Linked DNA regions of Macaca mulatta. The main gene of each other region encodes a partner of the protein of the gene in region 2 in a complex. Links are inferred from orthologs where the notes say so. Each region holds a gene or a part of one and is shown on either strand. Other genes may lie near its edges. The genes, in order: TAX1BP3 and KCNJ4.

The links.
Region 1: the proteins of KCNJ4 (region 2) and TAX1BP3 are in contact, whole or in part, in a crystal structure (PDB 3GJ9), measured with the Homo sapiens proteins. The link is inferred for Macaca mulatta from reciprocal best matches to the Homo sapiens genes KCNJ4 and TAX1BP3. Residues at the interface, in NP_004972.1 of Homo sapiens: Arg440, Arg441, Glu442, Ser443, Ala444, Ile445; in NP_055419.1 of Homo sapiens: Leu27, Ile28, Leu29, Gly30, Phe31, Ser32, Ile33, Gly34, Gly35, Asp38, Gln39, Gln43, Asn44, Thr58, Arg59, His90, Asp91, Arg94, Leu97, Thr98.

What each region holds. Positions count from the first base shown.
Region 1 is NC_133421.1:5,148,868-5,163,993, forward strand, and holds TAX1BP3 (tax1-binding protein 3), read right to left. Parts: upstream 8,493-15,126; 5' UTR 8,442-8,492; coding exon 8,403-8,441; intron 5,324-8,402; coding exon 5,204-5,323; intron 4,811-5,203; coding exon 4,733-4,810; intron 4,433-4,732; coding exon 4,295-4,432; 3' UTR 3,444-4,294; downstream 1-3,443. Other genes in the region: CTNS (cystinosin), read left to right, coding at 408-525, 785-899, 1,166-1,283; EMC6 (ER membrane protein complex subunit 6), read left to right, coding at 9,062-9,394; P2RX5 (P2X purinoceptor 5), read right to left, coding at 12,843-12,882. UniProt on the Homo sapiens protein: May regulate a number of protein-protein interactions by competing for PDZ domain binding sites. Binds CTNNB1 and may thereby act as an inhibitor of the Wnt signaling pathway. Competes with LIN7A for KCNJ4 binding, and thereby promotes KCNJ4 internalization.
Region 2 is NC_133415.1:13,102,273-13,116,608, reverse strand, and holds the end of KCNJ4 (inward rectifier potassium channel 4), read right to left. Parts: intron 6,637-14,336; 5' UTR 6,598-6,636; coding exon 5,260-6,597; 3' UTR 4,152-5,259; downstream 1-4,151. Other genes in the region: uncharacterized protein LOC144331675, read right to left, coding at 875-1,089. UniProt on the Homo sapiens protein: Inward rectifier potassium channels are characterized by a greater tendency to allow potassium to flow into the cell rather than out of it.

The DNA.
Region 1 (15,126 bases), on a different chromosome or scaffold from region 2:
CTCCCACCCAGTCCCTAAGCACATGAAGTCCCAGCCGAGTTTGGGGACAGCCTTCCCTGGAGGCGAGAGGAATCATAACTGCAGGGAAACCAGCTTAGGGCCTTAGCCCCAGGGATGTGGAAGACACAGGAAGGCAGCACCAGCCCCGCCTCCCTGGAATTGTGAGGTGCGGGGGGTGGGGGGCCTTTCCTTGCTGTACATGCAGATGAGACGCCCACCCCCAGGACCACCCAAACTGTGCCTTGGCTGAGGCCTGTCACAGCCCAAAGGTCACTGTGTTCCTTGGAGCCAAGGCCCCAGTGGGAGGAATGAGAACCGCTTTTGTTTGGAGGGGCAGTCACGAGGCACGTGAGGCAGCCGCCCAGTCCTCACCGCCCTCCATCTGTCTGTCCCTCTGTCTGGCCCAGGCCTACATGAACTTTCACTACAAAAGCACTGAGGGCTGGAGCATTGGCAACGTGCTCCTGGACTTCACCGGGGGCAGCTTCAGCCTCCTGCAGATGTTCCTTCAGTCCTACAACAACGGTGAGTCAGCCAGCGGGCTGCTGGCCACCCTGTGGCTGGAGCATTGGGCGGGGCCAGCTTTCCCGGGACCCTCCAACCAGGGCTCCACCCCCAGCTGGGATCCAAGCCAATCCAGCCCCCAAGGAGAGACCCGCCTAGGGGCCTTCGTAGCTGCAGGATTTGTGGTTTTTTGGGACCCTCACCTCCCACCACCCCACATGCTCCAGCTGCCTCAGGAGCTACAATCTAACACCAGCTTCCATCCCCCGGCCGCTAACAGACCAGTGGACGCTCATCTTCGGAGACCCAACCAAGTTTGGACTCGGGGTCTTCTCCATTTTCTTCGACATCGTCTTCTTCATCCAGCACTTCTGTTTGTACAGAAAGAGACCGGGGTACGACCAGCTGAACTAGCACCCAGGGACCCAGTGTGCAAAGCCCCCGGCCTCGCGCCCTGCTGGGGAAGGCCTCACCCAGCGAAGGCCGGAGAAGCGGTTGGGCCCTGGCACGCAGGGCCGGCTCAGTGTGCGGACAGAGGAGAGCACTCTGCTCCTGGAGCCAGAGGCCATTCAACAGCCTGCCTTCATCCGGGCCCCTCCTGGGCCTCCCCGGCCAGGCACGTGGCACCGTCGCCTTGACGCCGCCATCTCTTTTCTTTAAGGCTTCAAGCAGCGCGCACAGGCTCTGGCAGCCGTCTCAGGCAGGACTGGGCACCGAACTTGCAGCTGAAGGCCTTGCCCCAAACTACCAGCGTTTCTGCGAGCAGCTTGAAGGGCTGACCTTGCAGCCGGGAAAGCCAAGGGCACTTCGCTGCCACCGCTGCGTTCCCAGAGACCAAGCAGCCAGGTGCCGTGGCCAGTGGACTCAGAGGTGCTGGTGGAGGGACTAGGACTTTGGGGTTAGGCCGCGGGATTCTTTCTCTGCAGGCCACTTTCCTGACATGCTCTCTCTACATAACTCAGCGTCCGCGACTGCCGTCAACAGCTGGTCCTACCCAGAGTATTTCTGAGCCCTGAGGTGCCTGCCAGATTGGTTCTGAATTGGACTCATGCCCAGCACATTAGCATACTAACTCCTTTCAGATTTTGTGGAGGGACGTTTGGAAGTGGCTTACTCTCTTCTGCCCTCTCCGCTACCTCCACCTTTCCAGTCCGATGAGCCCCACCTGAGCACACCCAGCCCCTCCTTACCCAGCATCTGGAGTACAGGACACCTCTCTCCTGCTACCAGTCTGTGCCTTAGAGGTCTGTTAGGCCTGCCAAACGGCGACCAGCTGCCCCGGAGGGAGGGCAGGCCCCCTTCTCTCTCTTTCCCCAGATCCCTACCTGAGACTCACCAGTTTCTGGCCTGTTCAGGAGCCTCAGATAAGTATTTGTACTTGAGACCACCTCACACAATCTGTATGGGCCCAACCCTGATCTCAACCTCCTTCTCTCCACCCGAAGCTGTCGTTCTTCCTATGGCAGCAGGGGGTCCCAGGACGTGCCTCGTACATGCCTTGAGCTTGTCAGTCCACTGAGCTTTCGTCCATGAGACAACGCGAGGGGCCTGTATCTTGAATTAAAACCTACTCGCTTCCTTTCTGCACTCTTAAGTGTGTGCTCGATACAGAAGGCAGGTGTGCTGGCCTTCAGAGCCAGGTGCCCCTGCTCCCCACCTTGTGTGAGGAAGCGCGTAAGGTTGTGAAGTTCACTGACCCGAGGGGGCTGCGTGCTGACCCCGCACTTCACTGGGGAGCCCTCTTGGGTAGTGTGAGACTCCTGCCCGCCCAGGGACAGGTCACTCTCCCAGGCTCCATGTCTACCATTACCAGGGCACGCCACTCAATCTGGATGTGAGTGGGGGCGGATGAGGTTCTGAAGGGCACACCAGCACTGGGTGTGGGGGCGGGGGGCAGTGGGGGTCTTATTCTCCAGACGCTTCCTCTATGTAGTTGTCACAAACATCAAAGAATGTCAGGTCTCGTTTCTGTAGAGCAGAGACTTTGGCCTGACCAGGTCCACAGACCTGTCTCACTTGTGTCACCCAATCAATGTGTTACTGGGTGCCATACTTTAAAATGAGATATTTCAAATGATTGACTTTTCCGGCCGGGCATGGTGGCTCACGCCCATAATCCCAGCACTTTGGGAGGCCAAGGCAGGCAGGTCACCTGACATCAGGAGTTCAAGATCAGCCTGGCCAACGTTGCAAAACACCATCTCTACTAATAATACAAAAATTAGCTGGGCATGGTGGCAGGCGCCTGTAATCCCAGCTACTTGATTGGCTGAGGCAGGAGAATCACTTGAACCCGGGAGGCGGAAGTTGCAGTGAGCCCAGATCGCGCCATTGCACTCCAGCCTGGGCAACAAGAACAAAACTCTGTCTCAAAAAAAAAAAAAAAAATTATGGACTTTTCTTTAAAATCTGATTTGGCAGTGCTAGGTAGGTCCAGGAGTGCTAACACCTTGCCCAAGCTGGTACGCAGGTGGTCAGGTGCTCTCTGGCTCACCCCCATCTGGCCAGATCACGGCCCCCAGCAACGTGGGGGGTTGCATCCCTCGCTGTGATACAGGGAGTGCCCTTAGTGTCTTATAGGCAGGGGTCTCTCGCAGGCACCTCTGGGTGTCCCTATGGCCCCTCCCAGGTGGGAGCTGAGGCTAGGTTGCAAAAAGGAAGGTGGGAGCAAGTAGGGGCTTCACAATAACACCCAAGAAAGCACATGCACCCCAGGGTCCCACCGCAGTGCTCCCAGATGCTCCCACAGATGTGGTTCCGGTGAGGCGCAGTGCAGCTGCTACGGCTCCACCAGCCCCGGGCTTTCCAGGCAGGTGGGCCTGGGAGTAGTTAAGCTTTGTCCCAGAACAGTGGGGGATGGAGCCATCGTTAAAACCACAGCTCTGGCCCCAGTATCCCACCCCCGAGACATCCCAGCCCATGCCTCAGCAAAGCCCTTGTGAATTCCAGCACTGTTTATTGAGCACACCACGTTGGGGAGGGGCGGCAGTGGTTTCCACGGTCACCAAAGTAAGGCTTGTGCACTTGCTGAGCTTCCAGATGCGAGTTAGTAAGCTAAATTCAGAAGTAGAATGGGCACCTCCAAAGAGTACGATAAAAACATTTCGTATCAAACGTGATTAAAAAAATACAAAAGTTAAACCCACAGGCAAAGAGGAAAATGACAATCCTGAGAGCTGCCCTGAAATGTGAGCCTCGAACCTCATCTAAATCCTGTAAGAAGGTAAACCCTGGGGAGGCCAGCACCCCTCGGGAGAGTGGGAGTGAACAGGGAGCCCACCTGGCTTCTGTCTGGGCAAACCTTCATACAGCCCCTGGCAGGACGTGTGTGCAGTCCCCCGATGGGCAGAGGCACTGCGGGGTGGACACACGAGGGCTGCGGGGCGGTGGCGGAGCCGAACCCGGCGGCCAGGGCAAAGCGGGAAAGGCCCGGCCTCTCCGGCATTTCCCAGCTTTGGTGGCTCCCAAGAGATGGTGGTTCCCACTTGCCCTGCCACAGCTGTGGCCAGGCAGCAAGGTTGGACCTGAGCCTGTGGTCACAGCAGACCGGCTACCACTCAGCTCCAGGCCCTTGTTTCTAATCCTCGGGGTCCAGGGGAGAAAGCTGGTCCCAGAGGCCCCAGGCCAGGGGTGGGAGAAGAGAAGGAAGGCCAGGCCTGGCCTCTGGGACCAGCTGTAGCCCTTCTGAGCTGGGGCCCAGCACTCAGCAGAAGCCAGGTGGGGACAGAGCGTGGCAGTGGCGTTCCTGTACAGAGGGGAGGCAGGCAGGAGTTGCAGACGGTGGCAGCTGCTAGGACAGCATGGACTGCTGCACGGCCTTCTGCAGTGACTGCCGTGTCACCAGCAGGCGTACCACCTCCTCCGAGCGCTTGGTGAGCCGCTTCCGGGCCTGGTCGTGTGTGACCATGGTCATGTCCCAGCCGTTCACCTGGCCCAGGGAGAGAAGACAGGCCCACTTCAGCTCCCCGCCCTCTGGGATCTGGAAGCAGAGGGCTTTGGAGGCCCGGGTCATTCAAGTAAGCCCCCAGCCTAACATCCCAGGCCAAGCGCTGTGGCTGAGACACACACAGGAGAGAAAGCCAGCGTCCTCTGGGGCAATACCAGCATGGGCTCCCAACTGGCTATGGTGAGTTCCTCCCAGCTGGGAGGCTGCGGCAGGTCCCCAACCTCACGTGCTTCAGACCTGCTGGCCCAAACCTTGTTTTTCCTCCTTTGGGACACGTGTTACCTGCATGATCTTGTCTCCAATCTGCAGCCCAGCGATTTCAGCAGGGCCTCCTTCGGACACCCGTGTGACATAAATACCCTGGAAAGGGGTAGCCCAAGTCAAGCCCTGTGGTCCCTGGACTGGCCCCTTATCCACAGAGCGGAAGCCAGCATAGCACATTGTCAGCCGTCCCTCTGTCCCCGCACTCAGCCTGTCCCAGCACACACGGTCAGTGAGGACTATTCTGAGAGAGCCGGGACAGAGTGTCGCTGCCCCACCGTGCGCTGGCCGTGCTCCCCTGGGCTTTATCTGGACAGCCCTTCCTCACCCCTACCCATCCCTATTCTCACTAGGTCACTTCCAATGCCTGCTTAGAGAACATGGTTTGAGAGATGAGGTCTGCTCCTTCCATGGGGGCCCAGGAAACAGAGACCCACTATCTCAGGCCCCTGTGCCCCATGGAGCGGTCCCAGTACCCCAGAACCCCCTCACCTTGTCCGTCTTGTCTTCAGAAAAGGGATTCTGGGAAGGATCCTGGTCGATTCCACCTCCAATGCTAAAACCCAGGATTAAGTTCTCACCTTGACGCAGCTTGTGAATTTCAACTCTTTGCTGGCAAAGAAAAAAAGCCAGTTGAGGGAAGTGGGTGGTTGGAGAATGAGGCTGGTGTGTGTCCCCAGCAGCAGCCTCGGAGCCATGCCAAGGGGGTGGGGCCCAGGCCCCTACAGGAATCCAGCTGCTCACAGCCTGGGAGGCTGAGGAGCTGGCACTCAGAAATTGGCCACATTGATCCACCCACACAGCCCTCTGTCCTCAACCTGTCCCCACTTCCCCTATTAGTCTTAGGCACTGGTCTTGGTCAACACGTGGTCAAAGCCCCTGCTGGCCCAAGAGTCCAGGTGCTACGGCTTTTGTGGGTGGGAAGCCCATCTCACAGGAGGTGCTCTGGAAAAACAGAGATCAAACTTGCATAGAAAGGAGAGGAAGGGCTTCCCGGCCAAGGGGACCAGAGCACAGCACAGGCTTCAAGGTGCTGTGGATACGTGTTCGTGAGACTGGAGTGTCCAGTGCAGGACACAGAACTGGGAGGCGAGATGAGGCTGAAAGTGTAAGGCTGGGGCCAGATCCCGTCCTGAAGGGGAGTAGGGGTGTCTCCCTAAGCCCCGGGCCCTGCTCTTCTGCAGAAACAAGAGTGTTCTGAGGCGCTCCCACCATGCTCTGGGGTTATGGTCCCCAACTGTGCCAAGTTCCTTTCAAAGCCCTTGGCAAGCACTGTCCAGTAAACAGATGCTGGGAGCCAGACCAGATCACTCCCAAGGTCGAGCTTTAACAGGAAGGAGAAAAGAAGCAAAAGATGACAATCCAGACTAGACCTAAAGAAGTTCCCCAAAGCGGGGATTATTTGCATCAGGCTTTGAGGGGGTGATGGGTAGCCTTGATCCTGAACCCACTGGAGTTCTCAGGAATGGAGTAGGGCAGGGCATGGCCAGGTTCGCTGCTAGAATGACCACTCAGGTAATCAGTAGAGGAACGGACATCTCACAAAAGCAGGATGCAGAGGCTAGGGGACATGGAGCTACCTGAAAATGGAGATCTACAGACTTAGGGACCACTCATGGAGGAGAGGAGTCAAGAGGAGCACCCAGCCACCTTGCCTGGCTGAACACACATCACTCAGATGAGGACCCAGGAGGAGGAGGGACAGGTTGGGTTGGAGTGCCAGGAGCTGCAGGGCAGGTGTCCAGAAGGCAGATGGATCAATGGAGCCAGAGTTCAGAGGAATGGCCTAAATGGATTTAACATTCTCAAAATTCTACATGGGAGAGGGTGGGGACTGGGGAGTGAGCCTGCCCAACCCCATCCCCAATCCAAGACTCAAGGGAGAGGCCAGACCATACACACCATGTTCAAGCACGTTCCTGGTGTTACTAGAATTGGGAGGCATGCACCTGCAATTTTGGGGAAGGCCCTGGGACCAGTTATGGCATGAGGGAGCGGGGCAGGAAGCATGAGACCCACTGCGCCTGGGTCTTCATGCCCCAAACTGAGCTCCTCCAGGCCTGCTTCGCCGGCATAGTCAGAAGATTACAGGCCCTTGGGTTGGGAGACAGGGCTGTCACTGATCTGCTGGGTGAGGTCACGCAGAAGGTGGCTTGCTCTGGCTCCTCACCTGCCCCTGCCCCCACCCCGCTTCTAGCTAAAGAGTAAACTTGGTGCCCTCTCTCTGGGGCAGCTAGGGATCTAAAAAAGCCAGGCTGGGCCAGGCGCGGTGCCTCACACCTGTTATCCCAGCACTTTGGGAGGCTGAGGCAGGTGGATCACCTGAGGTCAGGGGTTCAAGACAAGCCTGGCCAACATGGTGAAACCCCATCTCTACTAAACATACAAAAATTAGGTGGACGTGCTCGTGTACGTCTGTAATCCCAGCTACTTGGGAGGCTGAGGCAGGAGAATCGCTTGAACCCAGGAGGCGGAGGTTGCAGTGAGCCCAGATCACGCCACTGTACTCCAGCCTGGGCGACAGAGCAAGACTGTCTCAAAGAAAAAAAAAAAAAAAAGTCAGGCTGGTGCAGGGACGGTGAAGCTTAGGACAGCTGTCAGCTGGTCCAGCAATGTTTCCTCCTGGCCCAGGCCTGAGCTGGTGCTCTAAGCTCAGCCTCACGTGTCGCCTTTATCAGTGGCTTCTCTGCCTCCACCCACCTGATTGCTGAGCTTCTCCAGCACACCCATCTGAGATAGCACACCCAGTCCCTAAGGCTCCAGGGCGGGGACTTGACCTACTGCCCACCGGGCAGGCATTTCTTCTCGTCCCTCCTCTGAATGCTGTCGGGAGGTAGGCAGGAGACCTGAGTCTATCCTGAGGTCTTCTCTGGCTGAGCACTTCTTTCTGGGACTCCCCACCTCTGTCATAGGGTTGCTCTCCAGGCCCCGTCCCACCGTGACACCGGCGTCTGAGTCTAACAGCCCAGCCTCCCTTCCTCTCTCTGCCTAGTCTAATACCACCCAGCACCTACAACAAGCCAGAGGGCGGCCAGGGGCCTAGGCTAGCCCCCAGAGGGTCTACTCAGGACTCAGGTGCCAGGAGGGAGGCCTGGACTTTTCTGCCTTAAGGGCTGGAGAACCAAGAAAAGTTCCAAGACGCAACGCTCATCGCAGCTATACGAGCGTCCACCCTGGACCAGGCGGCGAGTGGGTCGGAGGAGCAAGGCTGGACAGGAAGGGGGAAGGGGCTGCCACGGCAGGCTCGGGACAGCTCCACCCCCAGATCTCCCTTCGGGCGGCGGCGCAAGCTGCAGCGGAGGAAGCATTTCCTCATTCCAGAGGCTGCGACTCATGGACGTCGGGATCGGCGCCCGCCCCCCGCAGCTCCCCGGCTGGGGACACGGAGGCCCGGGAAGGGGGCGCTTTCCCAGGCTCCCGCAGCCGGGCCTTTCCCCGTGGCCCTCCCCGCCCCGCGCGCGCAGTCTGGGCTCCGTCCAGGGTCTCGGGAGGCTCTCGGGTCCCGGCCGTCCCTGTTTCGTGGCTGGGGGAACTGCGGCCCGCTCCGGCAAAGCGGGAACCCGAGCCCTTGCCGCCGGTTCGCAGGATCCCCGGGTTCGATGCTCTTGTCAACCAGCTTGGGGTGTCCGTTTCCCGCTCTGCGAGGTGGGGTCAGGCCAAGACTAGGAGGAGCCGGCGCAAGCGCACTCACCACCACGGCGGTGACCGGCTGGCCCGGGATGTAAGACATCTCGACCCCACTCTGGTCGCCCAGCGCCGCTCTGGGAAGCCGGCAGCAGAGTCCCCGCGGCCGCGCCCTCGCTGCTTAACAAAGGCCGCCCCGCTCGGTCCGCCCCCTCATGAATAGTTAACAAACCTCCAGCCAATCACTGGCCGGAGCGCTACTCCGCTTTCGGAAGTCCCGGCGCGTGCGTAGAAAAGCAGGCAGAGGGTGGAGCCTGTCCGGGGCGCCCACGGCGCAGGCGCGGAGGGCGGGGCGGGACCTGGGCGCGTGCGCAGCCCGGGACCTCCCGGCAGCCTTCAGAGCAAGATGGCGCCGCAGGCATCGCTTCCCCTTCCCGTCTGAGGGAACCCTAAGTACTGTGTCCGGCGCCGTGTTCCAGGTAACTGGGCCAGCGTGGCCGGGGAACGCAGACGCGCCACCACCTCCCGGCCGACTCGCACCCTCAATCTCCTCGGCGTTTTTGGAAGGTCCGAGGCCCAGGATTGGTGCCAGGTCTCGGAAGCTCCAGGGGGAGGGGGCGGCGTGAACCCAACTCACCGAGCTTCGGGCGCTGCTTGTAACTTGGTTTTCTCCGCAGCTCCGCGTTGCTCCGCGAGAAAGCGAGAGGCCGAGCCCCGGCGGGTGCGATGGCCGCGGTGGTGGCCAAGCGGGAAGGGCCGCCGTTCATCAGCGAGGCGGCCGTGCGGGGCAACGCCGCCGTCCTGGATTATTGCCGGACCTCGGTGTCAGCGCTGTCGGGGGCCACGGCCGGCATCCTCGGCCTCACCGGCCTCTACGGCTTCATCTTCTACCTGCTCGCCTCCGTCCTGCTCTCCCTGCTCCTCATTCTCAAGGCGGGAAGGAGGTGGAACAAATATTTCAAATCACGGAGACCCCTCTTTACAGGAGGCCTCATCGGGGGCCTCTTCACCTACGTCCTGTTCTGGACGTTCCTCTACGGCATGGTGCACGTCTACTGAAATGGGGGCCCGGGGGACTTTTTTTAAAAACCAGATCGGGAGGACTGTGGCCAGCAATTAACACCGTGTAGACTTCCTTAGTCCTTAAGTGGTTGAATTCGCTGCTTGTTCTGTAACCTTATAAATAATTTATATCTGAAGACGGAGAGCCTGTAATATTCTTCAGATTAAATGAAGCGTGAGACACTTGGTATAGTTCTTTCCTGCCATAAAGCTTAGTCTGCCACTGATGCAAAATCGCCGAGATTTGACTCCTGGAGAGCAGGGACTGGGCCAGAGCCTTGTGTTAAGTCCTTGCGTTTACACATAGGCCATCCAGAAACGGACCCTAAGGGCCTACATAAGGAAATAACTTCTTATTAACATCCTAAGAAGCAGTAACAGTTAATATGTATTAAGAGCTTCCTGGGCCGGCGCGGTGGCTGATGTCTGTAATCCCAGCATTTTGGGAGGCCGAGGTGGGCGGATAACCTGAGGTCAGGAGTTCAAGACCAGCCTGGCCAACATGGCAAAACTCCGTGTCTACTAAAAATACAAATATTAGCCGGGTGTGGTGGCGCGCGCCTGCAATGCCAGGTACTGGGGAGGCCGAGGCAGGAGAATCGTTTGACCCCTAGAGGCAGAGGTTGCAGTGAGCCAAGATCGCGCCACTGCATTCCAGCCTGGGTGATGGAGCGCGACTCCGTCTCTCACGAAAAAAAAAACAGAGTTCCCTATATGCTGGCATTGTGACCTGTACTTTTTACACCAATCCTCCCATTTAATTTTAGCAATAACCTTACAGGGTAGATGTTATTGTTAGCTCCCTGGTAAGGAACCTGAGGCTCAGAGAGGTTAAATACTTCTGCCAGAGGAGATACAGCTAGGAAGAGACAGAGCCAGGATTCAAACGCAGGTCTCTTAATTTGCTCTTGATAGGCTGGGTGTACCTTTCCCAGGCCAGCGTTCCCTCCCACTAACCACTAACCACTACTTCCAGGTATAAATGGTGTCATTTTAGTTCCGTTTCATTTAGTGACAGTCTTTTCCATAAGAAAAAGTCAAGATTTTATCTATATATATACACACACACACACACACACGCACATATACACAGGCACCCGCCACCACGCCCGGCTAATGTTTTGTATTTTTAGTAGAGACGGGGTTTCACCGGGTTAGCCAGGATGGTCTCGATCTCCTGACCTCGTGATCCATCTGCCTCAGCCTCCGGAAGTGCTGAGATTACAGGCGTGAGCCACTGCGCCCAGCCAGTCAAGCTGTATTTTTTAGAATATGTCTAGGGAAGATTAAATATTGTTTGGACATTTAGGCCAGCACAGTGGCTCATGCCTATAATCCCAGCACTTTGGGAGGCTGAGGCGGGCGGATCACCCAAGGTCAGGAGTTCGATACAAGCCTGGCCAAAATGGTGAAACCCCATCCCTACTAAAAATAAGATGCAAAAATTAGGCGTGGTGGTGGGCACCTATAATCCCAGCTACTTGGGAGGCTGAGGCAGGAGAATCACTTGAGCCCGGAAGGTGGAGGTTGCAGTGAGCCAAGATCGTGCCACTGCACTTCAGTCTGGGTGACAGCAAGATTCCATCTCAAAAAAAAAATTGTTTGGACATTTAAACTGAATTTTGGGCTGGTTTAGGGTGTAAACACCTCCATGTGTTAATCCCTGATCCTTTCTTGTCAAGAGAGTTATCTTAAAATGCATTTGTGGCCGGGCACCTGTAATCCCAGCCCTTTGGGAGGCTGAGGTGGATGGATCACCTGAGGTGGGGAGTTCGAGACCAACCTGACCAATATGGAGAAACCCCGTCTCTACCAAAAGTACAAAATTAGCCAGGCGTGGTGGCACATGCCGGTAATCCCAGCTACTAGAGAGGCTAAGGCAGGAGAATTGCTTGAACCTGGGAGGCAGAGGTTGCAGTGAGCCGAGATGGCGCCATTGCACTCCAGCCTGGGCAACAAGAGTGAAACTCCATCTCAAAAAAAAAAGAAAGAATAAAACGCGTGTGTTTATTTGATATTGCAATAGAATTATAGTAGTTGCCTGAGTGCAGTGGCTCATGCTGTGATACCAGCACTTTGGGAGGCCAAGGCTTGAGCCCAGGAGATCAAGACCAGCCTGGGCAACATAGTGAGAGTCCCATCTCTACAAAAAAAACATGTAAGTAGCCAGGTGTGGTGGCATGTGCCTGTAGTCCCAGCTACTCAGGAGGCTGAGGTGGGAGGATCAGGATCACCTGGGCCCAGGAGGTTGAGGCCACAGTAAGCCATAATTTGCCACTACACTCCAACCTGAGCAACAGCGAGACCCTGTCTAAAAAAAGAAATTATGGTAATGAACATGATGGTGCTCATTGGATTTATAGTTAACTGGGGAGACCAGCATCACCTAATTTCACAAATACTTAAATTATGGTAAGTACTGTGAAGAGAGGACACAGCAAACCTAGCCCAAGTTGGGGGATGGAGGTCAAGGAAGTCTTCTTTGAGGAAATGACATTACATCTGAAACCCAAAGGTTGAATAACATGGCCAAGTAAAGTGTGGGGAAGGGGTTACCTTCAGGAAAGCGCATGTTTCCAGGCCATTGGGTAGGAAGGAATGTGACTGTATTTAGAGAGTGAGAGAAGAGGCCACAGGGTAGACCCAGACCAGATCATGGAGGGCAGTAATGGGTACGGGGGCATGTCCCTGTAGGAGGCTAGAATGGGAAGATCAAGATCACTTGAGCCCAGGAGGTTCAGGCTGCAGTGAGCTCCCATTTGCCCTGGCCTTGATCCTCAGAGCAAATGGGGGAAGCCTTTGGAAGTTTTTAGTCTGAAGTGATGTAATCACATTTGGAATTTTTTTTTTTTTTTTTTTTTTTTTTTTTTTTTGAGACAGAGTCTTGCTCTGTCGCCCAGGCTGGGGTGCAGTGGCCGGATCTCAGCTCACTGCAAGCTCCGCCTCCCGGGTTTAGACCATTCTCCTGCCTCAGCCTCCCGAGTAGCTGGGACTACAGGCGCCCGCCACCTCGCCCGGCTAGTTTTTTGTATTTTTTAGTAGAGACGGGGTTTCACCGTGTTAGCCAGGATGGTCTCGATCTCCTGACCTTGTGATCCGCCCGTCTCGGCCTCCCGAAGTGCTGGGATTACAGGCTTGAGCCACCGCGCCCGGCCTTTTTTTTTTAATAATCTGTTTTCGTTTGGAAGGGGATCTGAGAGCTTGAATCCAAGACCCCTTTTGACAGATCATAGCTCATGGCCAGTCATGGAAATGGATCTGGGACCCAGACCTGTTATATTCCGTTTCAGCTTCAGGACCACACGCACACGACGCCAAGGAGAAGCCGAGGCCGTAGTGTTGCCTCCCTATCCCAGTGAGCCCTTTCTCTGCCCCCCACTGAAGATCCTCAGTGGTTCGCCCACCTCTGTCCTCTCAGAACCTCCTCTGAGTGGGAAGGAAACGTTCATTCCTGGTGTGAGGGAGAAGCAGAGGGAGTCCCCGGCCTGGTGGGAGAGGAGGAAGAAGGAAGAGGGATAAGTGAGCTGATGATGTACTTACCCATTTCCCTATTGTTGGGCAGTAAGTTTGAAATGTTCACTACTATAAAAAATTCTCCAATGAATGTCTGCGTTTCTATTGTCTTGAGAAATTTAGTAAGTTCCTACAGCAGAAGATAAAAATTTGATTCCAAATGATTTCAAGTTGTTAGATTACACTAATTGAATGAAAAGTACCAGTTTTATCAGTGCCTTCCTAGTCTATAATTTTAATAGTTGTTCATTTAAAGCATTTCCATAATTTGAATTTCCTTGCAAGATAATGGGTATATATTATATGGGTTACTAATTATTTCTCGTGTCTGCCTCTTTTGATCTTGCCTTCCTACATTTTCCTTCAAAATACGGGTAAAAGGCCGGGCGCGGTGGCTCACGCCTGGAATCCCAACACTTTGGGAGGATGAGGTGGGCGGATCACCTGAGGTCGGGAGTTCGAGATCAGCCTGACCAACATGGAGAGACCCTGTCTCTATTAAAAATGCAAAATTAGCCGGTCGTGGTTGTACATGCCTCTAATCCCAGCTACTCAGGAAGCTGAGGCAGGAGAATTGCTTGAACCCGGGAGGCAGAGGTTGCAGTGAGCCATTGCACTCCGGCCTTGGCAACAAGAGCAGAACTCCATCTCAAAAAAAAAAATTAGAATACAGGGAAAAATGGGCCGGGCACGGTGGCTCTCGCCTGTAATCCCAGCACTTTGGGAGGCCAAGGTGGGTGGATCACAAGGTCAGGAGTTTGAGACCAGCCTGACCAACATGGTGAAACCCCGTCTCTATTAAAAATACAAAAAAAATTAGCCAGGCGTGGTGGCGCACACCTGTAATCCCAGCTACTCAGGAGGCTGAGGCAGAAGAATCGCTTGAGCCTGGGAGGCGGAGGCTGCAGTGAGCCGAGATGGTGCCACTGCACTCCAGCCTGGGTTACAGAGCAAGACTCCGTCTCAAAAAATATATATATATAATATATATATTATATATATTATATATATATATATACACACTTTATATATAATATATATACACAGGTAAACATGAAGGCATGAGGGGAAGAAAGTCAGGACACATTTGAAATTGATACTGTTTATTGTTTTATGACCAAATAAGAGTGTCGGAGAATACACGTATTGGGCAGGTGCCAGAAAGCGTCTGCCATCCCCCACTCATTCTGTGTACTGGCCTAAGGGCAAACAGCTGGCAGGAAGGTGGTGTCTTTAGGAGAGAGAGTTCTTGGATCCACTGGAGAGGATGCTCTGAGGGAAGTTGCGGCACTTGGAGAGGGGAGTGGGGCGGAACCAAATGGAGCCCTTCTCCAGACATGCGCAATGCCGTTCCAAGTGAGGTAATCTAGGAGCTCTACGGGGCACTGTGGTCCTTAGCTGAGGTGCTCAAGGACTCTGGAAGGAAGTCGTGTTCCCCACTTACAACCCGTTCCCTAGTGCGGGAAGCCAGCCCCGGAGACAGGAAGAACTGACGGCAGGGGGTGGGGCAAAAAGACAGCCATGATGGGTCTGTCCTGATGACCCCAGCATCAGACGTGGAGGTCACTTTGCTCTTTCATGGCTGGTCCCCGTGATGTGACATGGATAGCACCCAGTGTACAAATTTCCCATCGGGCAGCATCATGGCATTCCCAAAGGCCTGGGATCGCTCGGTGCCGGACGGCTGGCTTTAGGATGGGGCCTGAACATAAGCAGAGGCAATTCACGTGCTCCTGGAATATCAGAACAGAAAGGAGCTCCAGAGGCTGGCACTCTCAGCTTCCCAGTGAGGCAACCAGTGCCCAGGGAGAAGGGCTTTCCCAAGTCTGAAAGGAGCTCCAGTTCCTGCTTCACTTCTCCCCATTTAAAAGCCAGTTTCCATCAGATTAATGAGCCTCCCACTCTTGCACCAAGATTATGCAGAAAAACGGTGGGAGCTGGGGGCTGCGCAAAAAGCAAGGAAACTGGAAGAGTGTGACACTGTCTGGAAGCTGTCACGGGATCTCTGGCTTTTCTGAGCATGGGGGCCCTGATGGGCAGTCAGGAGGTCACTGGAAGGCTTGGCCAGCCTTGAAGAAACGACGAGGGTAAGTCCTCTAAGGAAGCAAAGTCTAAAGGGGCAACCCTCACAGCTAAAGACAGTCAGCTTGATTAGACAAAAGCCTCGCCAAACCTGGCTCCTGTCTGCCGCCTTCACCCAGCTTCTTCGTTGCTCC
Region 2 (14,336 bases):
CAGATGAGGGTGGGATTTTCTGCTCCCATTAGACCCGCCCTCTTCCTCCCTATCTGTCTGCCTCCCTTTCCTCCTCTTCCTCCCTCCCTGTCTTCCTCCTTTTCTTTCTCTTCCTCTTCCTCCCTCCCTGTCTTCCTCCTTTTCTTCTGCATGCATGATACCCTCGTCATTCTCTCCATCCCGCCCACCACTCCTGCTCCCCCAGAGGCTGTGACCGAAGTGGGGAAGAGAGGGGAGGGCAGGGCAGAGGGGGTCTCCCTACCCTGGCTCTGCAGGGAAGCTGGTGTGGCATGAGGAGGGCTTGGCAGCACTTTACGGCTCCTTCAGCCCGCCCGTGTGCGCAATTCTAGGCTCCGTGACATCTAAGGTTCTTACACCCCCAGACGCAGCAATCCCCCCATGTCAGTGCCGCAGGAGCCGGAGTGGAGTGAGAGATCAGAGGAGCTGCACGAGGAGGGAGGCAGGTGGGAGGGCTGTGAAAGGGGAACAGGTGGGAGAGGGAAGGTGAGTCAGCCCCAAGCAGAGCTGAGCCAGCAGGAGTTTGCAGTGCAGCCAGGCCTGGGAGCCTCCCTGCAGCTGCGGGCTCTCGGCACCTCATGGCCCTCTCCCCCAGTGCCCACACTGGAGCTGACCTTTGGCACTCCAGAAGTCCTGGCTTTGGGCTTTCACTTGCCTCTTCTGTGTGACCCTGCCACAGGTCACCTTGCATGTGACCAGAGAGACCAGGCCCCTCCAAAAAGAGCAACTACCACAAGCATATGAGCAAGCCGCAAGCTGGTGAAGGGCCTGGAGGGACCTTGGAACGCCCCATGTTGCTCTGGATGGTGGATGACGGGCCCTCTTTGAGGTAACCCCACATGTACCCCTTCCTCACCCTGCATCCAGGCCTCTCGCATATCTTAGAGGAGGGTGGACATCCCCGAAGACGTGCTCCAGGTGGAGGCTTCTGAGTCTGGGAGCACCTGAGCCTGAGTCCTCTTCAGTTACTGCTCGTAGCCCGGGAGCCGTGGCATCCTGGGGATGTGGAGGGAGGACCGGGGAGACCTGGCGAGACCCACCCAGGGCCTGCGGGGCTGGATAGCGGGACATCTCTCATGAGCCTCCAGGGTCAGGAGTGAGACCCTGGGGTACTCAGCTGACAGAAGAGGACCAGGGGTCCTTCCAGAATGTGAATTTCTTTCTTGCTGAGCGGCCCCCACAGGCTCTTCCAGGGGGGCCCCCAAAGACCACAGGTGCACTCTGGGAAATCTGAGAAGGGGCAGAAGAGGAAAGGAAGCAGCCTCTCCCCCTCATTGAGCCCCCACCTGGGAGAGGATGGAGTGAAGGAAAAGCAGGGTCCCGGGCCTCTGACTGTCCTCACTTTGTTTCCAGCCAGTTCCCTGGTTCTCTGGGCCACCATTTATTTCCTCATCAGTAAAAGGAGGCCATAATCCTTGTCCTGGCTTCCTCTTGGAGTTTCGTAAGAGTTCAATGAACCCAAGGACGTGAAAGGTGTTATGCAAATCAGAGACATTATGAGTTATCTGTTGGGAGGCTTGGATCCCGAACGAGGCTCCGTCTCCAGGAAAGAGGTCTCCAGTTTCCTTCTGCAGCAGCGCAGCATACGGGGTGCACAGTGATTCACCCAAACGGCAGCTATACTGCTGGGGCTGGTGAGACGTGGTCATTCACAAGGCAAGCTTGCCGGCTGCTTCCCTGTTTCTCGAGGCAGCTGGCACCTTTGTATGGAAGATCCCTGGGACCCAGAAGGGTGCCTTCTGCTTCCTTACAGCCCAAGGCACACAGTCGGCCTGTAGAATAGAGGTCGGGTGGGAGGAACCCTCAAACTCCAAGGTTCTGGGATAGATGACCAACTAGGGCCACAGCTCCCTCCTGCTCCGCATGTCCTTGGCAATGTGACTTTGCCTCCTTCTCAAAAGGTGGAGTCTAATTTCCCACCCTTTGAACCTGGGCTGGCCTTGTGACCTGGACTCTGCCCGATAGACTGCAGTGGAAGCGGTGTTATCCAAGTTCAAGGCTAGGCCTCCAGAAACCTTGCAGCTTCTACCTTCGCCCTCTTAGGTTGCTGCCCGGAGTCACCATGAAGGAATGTGATGTAGCCTATTGGAGGAGAACCAAAGCCCCCCAGAAAGCAGTCAGACCAGCTGCCGACATGTTCTTCGGGGGTCTTCCAGGCCCACTGACGGTCCAGCTGAGCACAGCTGCCGGGTGAGCCCAGGAGAAATCAGCTAGGAACCCCAGCCCACCCACAGGACCCTAACAGAGGATGCATCATTGCTCTCCGTTTTGCGCTGACTGGTTACATAGCATAGGCTAACCGAAGCCAGAGAAGGGAAGGGACTTACCCAAGGTCCCACAGAGAGCAGAGACCAAGCCTGTCTTGGTCAAGTCTGTGACCAGGTTTCCCGGCCCCTGGGCCCTTCCCATCAGTGTCCTGCCACCAGCTCTACCAGCGGTGTATGGATCTGCATATATGTAGGGAGGTGTGGATCGGGTGGGCCCTTCCCCCTTCCACCTGAGTTAGGAAGGGTTGGCTGACATCCACACAGGGCTATCCTGCCCATTATCGCGGGCGGGAGGGATGGTTAATCCCATTCTGCAGAAGATGAAACCGAGGCCAAGAACTGACAGTCACACAGCTATTAGGTAACAAAGCTCTGACATCAAAGCTTTTGGTTCTTTGATGCCAACTCCAGATCCTTCTATTGACTCGCAGGAAGGAGAATGGCAGGTGATAAAGTTCCCTCCAAGGGTCAGTCACTCAGAAAGGGCCACACACACAGACACATGCAGGCACACATACTACACAGGCACACACCTAACACACAGGCACACACGTAACACACAGGCACACACAGGCACACATACTACACAGGCACACACCTAACACACAGGCACACACATAACACACAGACACTTGCAGGCACACATACTACACCGGCACATGCATAATACAGGCACACACATACACACAGGCACATATACTACACAGGTACACATACTACACAGGTACACATACTACACAGGCACGCACCTAACAGACACATGCAGGCACACATACTACACAGGCACACATACTACACAGGCACACACATAACACACACAGGCACACATACTACACAGGCACACATACTACACAGGCACACACATAACACACACAGGCACACATACTACACAGGCACACATACTACACAGGCACACACATAACACACACAGGCACACATACTACACAGGCACACATATTATACAGGCACACACCTAACACACAGGCACATACAGGCACACATACTACACAGGCACACACATAACACAGACACACGCAGGCACACATACTACACAGGCACACACCTAACACACAGGCACACACATAACACACAGGCACACACATAACACAGGCACACACATAACACACAGGCACACACCTAACACACAGGCACACACATAACACAGGCACACACCTAACACACAGGCACACACATAACACAGGCACACACATAACACAGGCACACACAGGCACACATACTACACAGGCACACACCTAACACACAGGCACACACATAACACAGGCACACACATAACACACAGGCACACACATAACACAGGCACACACATAACACACAGGCACACACCTAACACACAGGCACACACATAACACACAGGCACACACATAACACACAGGCACACACAGGCACACATACTACACAGGCACACACATAACACACAGGCACACATACTACACAGGCACACACCTAACACACAGGCACACACAGGCACACATACTACACAGGCACACACATGACACACACAGGCACATACAGGCACACATACTACACAGGCACACACCTAACACACAGGCACACACATAACACAGGCACACACATAACACACAGGCACACACCTAACACACAGGCACACACATAACACACAGGCACACACATAACACACAGGCACACACAGGCACACATACTACACAGGCACACACATAACACACAGGCACACATACTACACAGGCACACACATGACACACACAGGCACACACCTAACACATAGGCACACATACTACACAGGCACACACATGACACACAGGCACAATTACATGTGTGCTTGCTCACTGTCTCTCCTTCTCACCCCTCCATCTTCAACCAGCCAACCCCAATGGACCATATACTTTATTAAAAATATATAGTTATGGCCGGGTGCGGTGACTCACGCTTATAATCCTAACACTTTGGGAGGCCAAGGTGGGTGAATCACCTGAGGTCAGGAGTTCGAGACCAGCCTGGCCAACATGGTGAAACCCATCTTTACTAAAAATACAAAAATTAGCTGAGTGTGGTGGGTCATGCCTGTAATCTCAGCTACTCAGGAGGCTGAGGCAGGAAAATCGCTTGAAGCCGGGAGGCGGAGGTTGCAGTGAGCCGAGATTGCTCCGTTACACTCCAGCCTGGGCAACAAGAGCGAAACTCCGTCTCAAATATATATATATGGTTACAAACTCCGTCTCAAATGTGTATATATATATATAGTTACAAACTCTATTGTCAATCTGGGCTGGGCCCCGGGGCCGGAGGGACTGCAGGGAGGGAGGGATGCTCCCTCATCCCACCCCTCAGAGTCCCTCCTCTGCACCCAAACTCAACACCATCCAAGGGCCAAGGTGGCTGGCTTTGCAGGCCTCAAGGGGCCAGCCAGCTGGGCAGGGGAAGGGGCTAGGCTTGATGGGCAGGGTGGGGAAGGGTGCACAGAGAGGGACCATATCTCCTTGTCTGGCAGGTAAAAACGGCAGAAGGTGAATTTGGTGTCTCCATCTGTCTCCATTTATAGATATTTACAAAAGAAAGTCATGAGCAACAGGCCACAGTCATGCAAAAGAAACGCACCCCCCTCCCCAAACTAACCCCCTGCCCACCCTGAAACCCCGAGATGTCTCCCACCCAGCAGTCCAGTCACCTTCCCCAAGGTTCTGAGAGCAAAGAGGGCACGTCCTTGAAGAGTCAGTGGGGGAAGGGTGGTGGATCCGGGGACCCAGAGCCACCAGGAGTAGGTGCTGGGGGAACCCAGGCTGATTGGGCCGAGCTCTTCCCAGGCCAGGGTGCTGGAGTCAGGAGGAAGGGGTCCCCCAGTCTTTGAAACCCCCACCTTCCTCCAGAAGGTCCACGGAGCCACGGTTGGCTCTGTCCTGAGTGTGGGAGGGGGTGTCCTGGCATCCTACCCCCGGCAGAGGCTCTTGTGGGCAGTGGTGAGGGCCGGGCCTGGAGGTCAGATAGCAGACTCCCTGCGGTAGGAGATGTTGTCCAGCGGGAGGGAAGCCTGCATGCGCTCCAGGTCCAGGTGGCTGCCGAACTCCAGCATCCGGATGATGCCCGCCTCCTCCTTGGAGCCGGCCTCCAGGCCCAGGCCTGCGGCCACTGCGGCCGCCGCAGCCGCCTCCTCCTCCATCTCCTCTTCCTCCTGGCTCATGAGGGCCAGCTCGTTCTCATAGCAGAAGGCACTGGGAGGGGGCGGCGGGGCGGGCAGCACGGTGATCTTACTCTCCTGCAGCTCCCGGGCCGAGCAGCAGGGTGTGCCGGCCACCTCGTAGGTCTTGTGAAAACGCGAGTAGTCCACCTTGTAGTGGCTCTTCTCCTCAAAGACCACGGGCTCAAAGCGGTGGCCCCACAGGATCTCGCTGGCCAGGTAGGAGCTGCGGGCCTGGGTGGTCATGGCCGTGGCCTCCACCATGCCCTCCAGGATGACCACGATCTCGAAGTCCTCTGACTCCAGCTCCTCCTTGCCCATGCCATAGAGCGGGCTGTCCTCATCGATCTCGTGGACAATGATGATGGGCGACACCAGGAAGATGCGGTCCAGGCCGATGTCATAGCCCACGTTGAGGTCCCGCTGGTCCAGGGGCAGGTACTCACCCTCCTGGGTCATGTAGGGCTTGATGAGCTGGGCCCGCACGTGGGCCTCCACAATGTGGCTCTTGCGTAGGTTACCCACGCGCCACATGAGGCAGAGCTTGCCGTCGCGCACCGAGATGACCGCATGGTGGCTGAACAGCAGCGTCTGTGCCCGCTTCTTGGGCCGCGCCATCTTGGCCATGATGGTGCCGATCATGAAGGAGTCGATGACGCAGCCCACGATGGACTGGACCACCACAGCGATGACTGCCAGTGGGCACTCCTCCGTCACGCACCGGAACCCGTAGCCGATGGTCGTCTGCGTCTCCACCGAGAACAGGAAGGCACCCAGGAAGCCGTTCACGTGCATGATGCAGGGCTTGGGGGCCGCCGGGGCTGCCCCGCCACTGCCCGCCGCCGGCCCGCCCGCCCCGGGCACCCCTGGGCTGGCCTCCAGGTCACCGTGGAAGAAGGCGATACACCAGAAGAGGAGGCCAAAAAAGAGCCAGGAAACAAGGAAGGCCGCGGAGAAGATCATGAGCATGTAGCGCCAGCGCGTGTCCACGCAGGTGGTGAAGATGTCCGCCATGTAGCGCTGCGACTTGTTGCTCAGGTTGGCGAAGTACACATTGCATTGGCCGTTCTTCTTGACAAAGCGGTTGCGGCGTTTCCGCCGGGGCACGTGGGCCTGGCCGTTGCGGCTGTGTCCGTGCATGTCCTGAAGCCGGCGTGGTCACCTGGGAAGACGCAGGGCCTGCGGAGGAGAAGCCAGACAGGTGAAATGCTGGGGAGCAAGGGGCCTCCTCAGGGCCACCCAGACTCAGCCCCTAGACTCTCAGAAGCAGGTGAGCCTGGACCAGGACCTAAGACTTCCTCTGCCGCAGCAGGCGGAGGGTGGCAACGGAGGGGGTTCTGATGACAGGGTCTGAGCCAGTGCCCCTGAGTCCGACCCAGCTTAGAGATAGGGGTCCACAGACCAGGAAGCTAAAGCCACAAGGATCCAGGTCCTAGTCCCTGCCCCTCAACACTGCCCCTCCGGCCCTCCTATGCTCACTGTTCTGGAAGCTTCCTGAGGCCCATCTCAGTTCCTCCCTGTCCCTCTGTCCTGCTTGCCCTGAGCATAGGGAGCCACGGAGGCTCTGGGCCCGCTCCCCTCCCTGGATTCCATCTATGGACTTTTGGGCTTCTTGGGGGCTGGACATCCTCCTGTAAGATAGACACTGGCCACCTGTGGCTCTTTACATTTAATTAAAACTAAATAAAATATTAAGTATAGCTCCTTCCTTGCATGAGCCACATTTTAAGTGATCAGGAGTCACATATGGTCAATGGCCACCACACCACACTGGACAGAGAAGACATATAGGAGAGTTCTAGCACTGAGAAATTTCTGGCCGGACACAGGGGTTCATGCCTGTGATCTCAGCATTTTGGGAGGCCGAGATGCAAGGATTGTTTGTGCCAGAAGTTTGAGACCAGCGTGGGCAACAGAGTGAGACCCCATCTCTACAAAAAATAAGAAAATTAGCCAGGCATCGTGGTGCATGCCTGTGGCATCAGCTACTTGGGAGGCTAAGGCAGGAGGATCTATTGAGCCCAGGGGGTCAAGGCTGCAGTGAGCTGTAATCATCCCACTGAACTCCAGCCTGGGCCACAGAGCAAGACCCCATGTCAAAAAAAGAAAAAAAGAAAAAAGAAAAAGAAAAAGAAAGTTCTGCTGGGCGCGGTGGCTCAAGCCTGTAATCCCAGCACTTTGGGAGGCCGAGATGGGCGGATCACAAGGTCAGGAGATCGAGACCATCCTGGCTAACACGGTGAAACCCCGTCTCTACTAAAAAATACAAAAAAACCTAGCCGGGCGAGGTGGCGGGCGTCTGTAGTCCCAGCTACTAGGGAGGCTGAGGCAGGAGAATGGCGTGAACCCGGGAGGCGGAGCTTGCAGTGAGCTGAGATCCGGCCACTGCACTCCAGTCTGGGCGACAAAGCGAGACTCTGTCTCAACAAAAAAAAAAAAAAAAAAAAAGAAAAAGAAAGTTCTACTGGAACCCGCAGCCCCACCTGGGTCTGAGCTACTTTCTTAGACTCTTCCCTCCCAGTGCTGCTTTGAGTCCTTGAGCCCAAATTCCTGCCCAGTGCCCCGTGGAGGAAGGGGGAGTCCCCAGCTTTGACTCCTCTGTAGACATCGCTATTCCCATGTCCCGGGTGGCTCAGAGAGGGAAAGCCAGCTGCCAGCCACAAAGCTGGCAGTGGATACAAACTTGCGTGGCACCAACATGAATGAGTTGATGGCGGGGAGACAGGGAGTGGGAGGGGAGGACACACTCAGTTCACCTCTCGGAGCTTCCACGTCTTCACCTGTAACATGGGCACCAAAACTCCCTACCTCATGGGACCTACGGGGACAGCAGGCGCTGGGGTAAAGCCATCACCCTCCTGCTTGCCTTCCCACACTTCCCAGGAGCTGGTGATAGGCAGGATTTGCCTGTCAAGCATCCCCAGCTGTTGCAGCAGAAGAGGCCCCTCACCGCACTGGGTGGCGGGATGTGCCTCGGGCCGTAGAGGACAGACCCTCTCTCCACCCCTCCCTGCCACTGGGTCCCCAGGGAAGACATGGTGCTACCCTGCCCCCAGCAGCTGGCAGGGCCAGGACTGGGCCTGGGTTCCCAATAACATTTTGGCCCAGAATTACATAAGGCTGGAAGTTTCTATTTTCTGTTCTATTCTTCTTCCTGATCTAATTGTGCATCTGTGGCAATGTTTATACACTTCCCCGGTTCAGGACAACTCGGTTGCTGCAGCAACCGGTACGCGCCAACGCTATAATTTAGAGATCAACAGCCTCAGAGCCTGCCTCTTCCCAAGAGAAACTCCCTCTCCGGGCCCAGGGAGAGTGAGCCCTGCCCCCACCTCCTCCCCCGCGGTCACCCACCCTGACTCCGAGTTCTTCTCCCTATTCCCTTTGTTCCCAAAGAGCTCCCTGGCTCCTACAGTCCTGGGTTGAAGTCCTAGATCCACTGTGTGACTTGGGCGAGCTACTGACTACTCTGAAACTCAGTTTCCTCATCTTGAAAATGGGGCTGGCCGGGTGCGGTGGCTCACACCTGTCATCCCAGCACTTTGGGAGGCTGAGGTGGGTGGATCACCTGAGGTTGGGAGTTTGAGGCCAGTCTGACCAACATGGAGAAACCCCGTCTCTATAAAAATACACAAATTGCCGGGCGCGGTGGCTCAAGCCTGTAATCCCAGCACTTTGGGAGGCCGAGACGGGCGGATCACGAGGTCGGGAGATCGAGACCATCCTGGCTAACACAGTGAAAGCCCTTCTCTACTAAAAAATACAAAAAATTAGCCGGGCGAGGTGGCAGGCGCCTGTAATCCCAGCTACTCGGGAGGCTGAGGCAGGAGAATGGCGTAAACCTGGGAGGCAGAGCTTGCAGTGAGCTGAGATCCAGCCACTGCACTCCAGCCTGGGCGACAGAGCGAGACTCCGTCTCAAAAAAAAAAAAAAAAAAAATACACAAATTAGGGCTGGGCGCGGTGGCTCACGCCTATAATCTCAGCACTTTGGGAGGCCGAGACGGGCCGATCACGAGGTCAGGAGATGGAGACCATCCTGGCTAACACGGAGAAACCCCGTCTCTACTAAAAAATACAAAAAACTAGGCCGGGCGCGGTGGCTCAAGCCTGTAATCCCAGCACTTTGGGAGGCCGAGACGGGTGGATCACAAGGTCAGGAGATCGAGACCATCCTGGCTAACACGGTGAAACCCCGTCTCTACTAAAAAATACAAAAAAACTAGCCGGGCGAGGTGGCGGGCGCCTGTAGTCCCAGCTACTCGGGAGGCTGAGGCAGGAGAATGGCGTGAACCCGGGAGGCGGAGCTTGCAGTGAGCTGAGATCCGGCCACTGCACTCCAGCCTGGGTGACAGAGCGAGACCCCGTCTCAAAAAAAAAAACAAAAACAAAAACAAAAACAAAAAAAACTAGCCAGGTGTGGTGGCGGGCGCCTGTAGTCCCAGCTACTCAGGAGGCTGAGGCAGGAGAATAGCGTAAACCCGGCAGGCGGAGCTTGCAGTGAGCTGAGATCCGGCCACTACACTCCAGCCTAGGCGACAGAGCGAGACTCCATCTCAAAAAAAAAACCAAAAAACAAAAACACACAAATTAGGCCAGGCATGGTGGCATATGCCTGTAATCCCAGCTACTAGGGGGGCTGAGGCAGGAGGATCGCTTGAACCTGGGAGGCGTAGGTTGCAGTGAGCCAAGATCGTGCCACTGCACTCCAGCCTGGGCAACAAAGTGAGGCTCCGCCTCAAAAAAAAAAAGAGAAAATGGGCCAATGAGATATCATGCTGGAGACCTAACAGGTCATGCAGGCATGGCCTGTAATGCAAGGCTGGCCTTTCAGAGCTGGAGGCTCAGACCCTCTTTGCCCCCTCCCGCAGCATTCCAGCAGCCAGGGCTCCAGATGGAAACCTTGGGGTTCTGGGACCAGGCACACCTTCTGCTCTATAAATAGAGTTTTCAGGGAGGCCTTTCTTTGCTAAACATATTCCCCCTGTTCTGTCCCACTGCCTCAAATGGCTCCAGGAGCACCGCGGACTGTCAGGACAGGAGCATAGGGTCACCGAGTTCAGGACCCTCATTTTATGTCTGAGGCCAAGGAAATCCAGAGATAGGAAGGACTTGCTAAGAGTCCCAGAGTGGGGCCAGGTGGGCCAGCCCTGAACAAGGCCTCACCCCCACCCCTGGGTTCCTCATCCACTTCCTCCCTGGAGGGGGCTGGGGTGGGTTTTGGGGCAAAGGCAGGGAAGAAATCAGCCAGTCCAAACTGGACCACCATCCACAGGTGTGTAGGATAGAGGCAGAGGGGACAGGGTGTGGCGGCCCAGGCCTTCAACAGGTGAGGTCACTGAGTTCCAGAGAGGGTGGGGGCCCCTGCCCAAGGCCAAACACAAGCCCAGAGTTCCAGGGCATCCCTGGTTCTTTGCCCGGTGGGATTGGCTCCTGACCTGGTGAGTTCACCTGGTGCTGCAGATGAGATGTCTTCATGGGAGGGGCCTTGGGGTTAAGGGAGCCGATCCCCTGATGGCTACAGAGATTGGGCGTCCCCTTGCCAGCAGTGCCCACCCCTCCCCATTAGCGAGTGCCCAGGGTCAACCCTGAGCTTCCACAATCCCCAGCCCCAACGGCAACACTCACTCCTCAGCCCCTCCAGCCCACTGGGCTCCACAGTGCAGCCCGATGGGGACATAGTTTACCCCTCACCCTGACACCTCCCCGACAGCTTACAGCAGGTATCCTGAGCTTTTGCTATGTGCTGGGTCCTGTCTTGGGTTCCCAGTGCCCCCAGCACATCCTGGAGCTTAGCAGGAAAGCTGCTTCCCTGGCACTCCTCAGACCTGGCACCCTTCCCCATGCAGCAGCCCCTGGGACACCCCATCCCCCTGAAAACCCTTGGTCTGCAGTGACTCGATCAAATAAGTGCATGCTGCTGCCACCACAGACCATTTTAGCAAGAGAGAGAGGTTCCGCTGCTAATTCGAGGCTGACCTGTGCAAGGCCTGGCCAAAAAGTGAAGGGTATGAGCTGGGCATTGTGTTCTCATGTGACAACCACGAGGAGATGGCCAGGTTTTCTCTTCCTTGTCACATGGGGCTTCCTGGGGAAGGCTGACGATGGCAGGAGATGGTCAAAAGGCCTTGACAATTCAGTACCATCCTCCTCTGACTAGTGATATTTTTTTTAAAAAGAGCCCTGCTGGGCGCGGTGACTCGCACCTGTAATCCCAGCACTTTGGGAGGCCGGGCAGATCCCTCGAGGCCAGGAGTTCAAGACCAGCCTGGCCAACTTGGTGAAACTCTGTCTCTACTAAAAATTCAAAAAAATTAGCCAGGCATGGTGGTGGGCGCCTGTAATCCCAGCTACTAGGGAGGCTGAGGCAGGAGAATTGCTTGAACTTGGGAGGCGGAGGTTGCAGTGAGCCGAGATTAAGCCACTGCACTCTAGGCTGGGTGACACAGTGAGACTCCGTCTCAAAATAAATAAATAAATAAATAATAAAATAAAAAAGAGCCCTGGTTGTTTAGGTGTCTGCTTTATCCCTATGATTAAACTACTTTTGTGGGAGGCCCCCTGCCACGGCCCTGCATGTGACCTTGAACAAGTTCTTCCTCTCCCTGGGGTCAGGTCCTCCTCCAATTAAGGGACTACTCATCCTCCCCAGCTTTTTTGAAGGTCACAGAGCTTGACATATAAATGATAGAACCAGAGGGATTGGTGAAGTGGGGCCTGAGGTTTCTGAAACCCCCAGTGTGGGCCACTAGCCCATGGCAAAATGAGCCTAAGAAGGATCAATGGGCCAGGCGCGGTGGTTCACGCCTGTAACCCCAGCACTTTGGGAGGCAGAGGCAGGCGGATCTCTTGAGGCCAGGAGTTCAAGACCAGCCTGAGCAACATGGCAAAACCCCATCTCTACAAAAAATACAAAAAAATTAGCTGGGCATGGTGGCACACGCCTGTAATCCCAGCTCCTCGGGAGGCTGAGGCATGAGAATTGCTTGAACCCAGCAGGCAGAGGTTGCAGTCAGCCAAGATCACACCACTGCACTCCAGCCTGGGCAACAGAGCAAGACTCCATCTCAAAAAAAACATCAATGGTACTGCTGTCCTTTATATCCTGGGACTCTTTCAGTTGCAAACATTTTTTTAGAAAGTGATGGTCACAGGAGATGCTGACTGCTTTTAAAATGTTAATGTCTTTTCTTGGCAAAATGAAGAAGTGACAGTGCTACACCAGTTACCAGACTTTTAATTTTTAAAAATTTATTATTGGCCAGGCGCGGTGGCTCACGCCTGTAATCCCAGCACTTTGGGAGGCCAAGGCAGGCGAATCACCTGAGGTCAGGAGTTTGAGACCAGCCTGACCAACATGGAGAAACCCGTTTCTACTAAAAATACAAAACTAGCCAGGCGTGGTGGTGGGTGCCTGTAATCCCAGCTACTCGGGAGGCTGAGGCAGGAGGACCACTTGAACCTGGGAGGTGGAGGTTACAGTGAGCTGAGATTGTGTCATTGCACTCCAGCCTGGGCAACAAGAGTGAAACTCTGTCTCAAAAAATAAATAAATAAAAATAAAAAATATTACTTTTTTTTTTTTTTTTTTGAGTCTCGCTCTGTCTCTGTCGCCCAAGCTGGAGTGCAGTGGCGCGATCTTGGCTCACTGCAACCTCCACCTCCCAGGTTCGCGCCATTCTCCTGTCTTGCTCTCCTGAGTAGCTGGGACTACAGGTGCCCGCCACCACACCCGGCTGATTTTTTTTATTTTTAGTAGAGATGGGTTTTCACCATGTTAGCCAGGATGGTCTCGATCTCCTGACCTCGTGATCCGCCCGTCTTGGCCTCCCAAAGTGCTGAGATTACAGGTGTGAGTCACTGCGCCCGGCGATTATTACTATTTTTTATAGAGAGGGGGTCTTATTATGTTTTCTAGGCTAGTCTCAAACTCCTGGCCTCAAGCTGTCCTCCTGCCTCAGCCTCCCAAAATGCTGGGATCACAGGCATGAGCCACTGCGTCTGGCTTTCTTTTAATTTTACTGTGTTGTAAACATCCAAAATCTGCAGGTCTCTAGTCCAGACTTCATTAGCCAGCTGGGGAAACCGAGGCCAAGAACAGGGCATGGCACCGTGTCCAAGGTGGCACAGTAAGTCAACAACTGTGGACGGAAGTTCAGGCCTCACCACTGACACCAGCCATTCTGCCCCATCCTGAGGAATTAGGGAGGGGCTGCAGACTCTGCCTCCTGGGGGTCCAGAGGAGGCAGGAAGACCACCCCAACCCTGTCAACTTTTAGGTTTTCCCGACAATTTTAGGACACGAACTTATCTGTCCTTGCCCACAACCCTCTTTGAAAAAGAAACGCTGATCAGCTTGCAGCAGCCTCGGCAGGTCCCAGCACCTGGAAGGCTTCGAGGGCAAACCTCCTCCCGAGACCCGTGCCACTGACCAGACACATGATGGCTGTTGCAGGGGCACCTCCGCCAGGCCCTGCCGGAGCCAGGCAGCAGCTCCAGCCCTGCCTGAAACTCTGCTCCTTTAGACAGCAGCAGGGAGCTCACGCCTGGGGAGCAGTGGCCAGTGCCAGTCTGCCAGGCTGTCATGCATCTCATGTCATCCCATCACCAGACTTCGAGGTGACTGTTACTGGGTGAGACAACCAGGGAGGTGATGTGACTTGCCCGAGGTCACAGAGCTCAGCCTTGGGGACCTGAGGAACCAGTCATCCTCTCTCTCCAGCCCCTCTCAGGGAATTTCTGCCAACTCCATGCCAGGCGCTGCCTCCTCTCTCTCACTGAAGCATCACTGTATCCTTTGTGTATTTAACAAGTATTTATTAATCACCTACCACAGTAACAAGAAGGGTTGTTATTTCTCCTCCCCAGCTGAAGAATTGC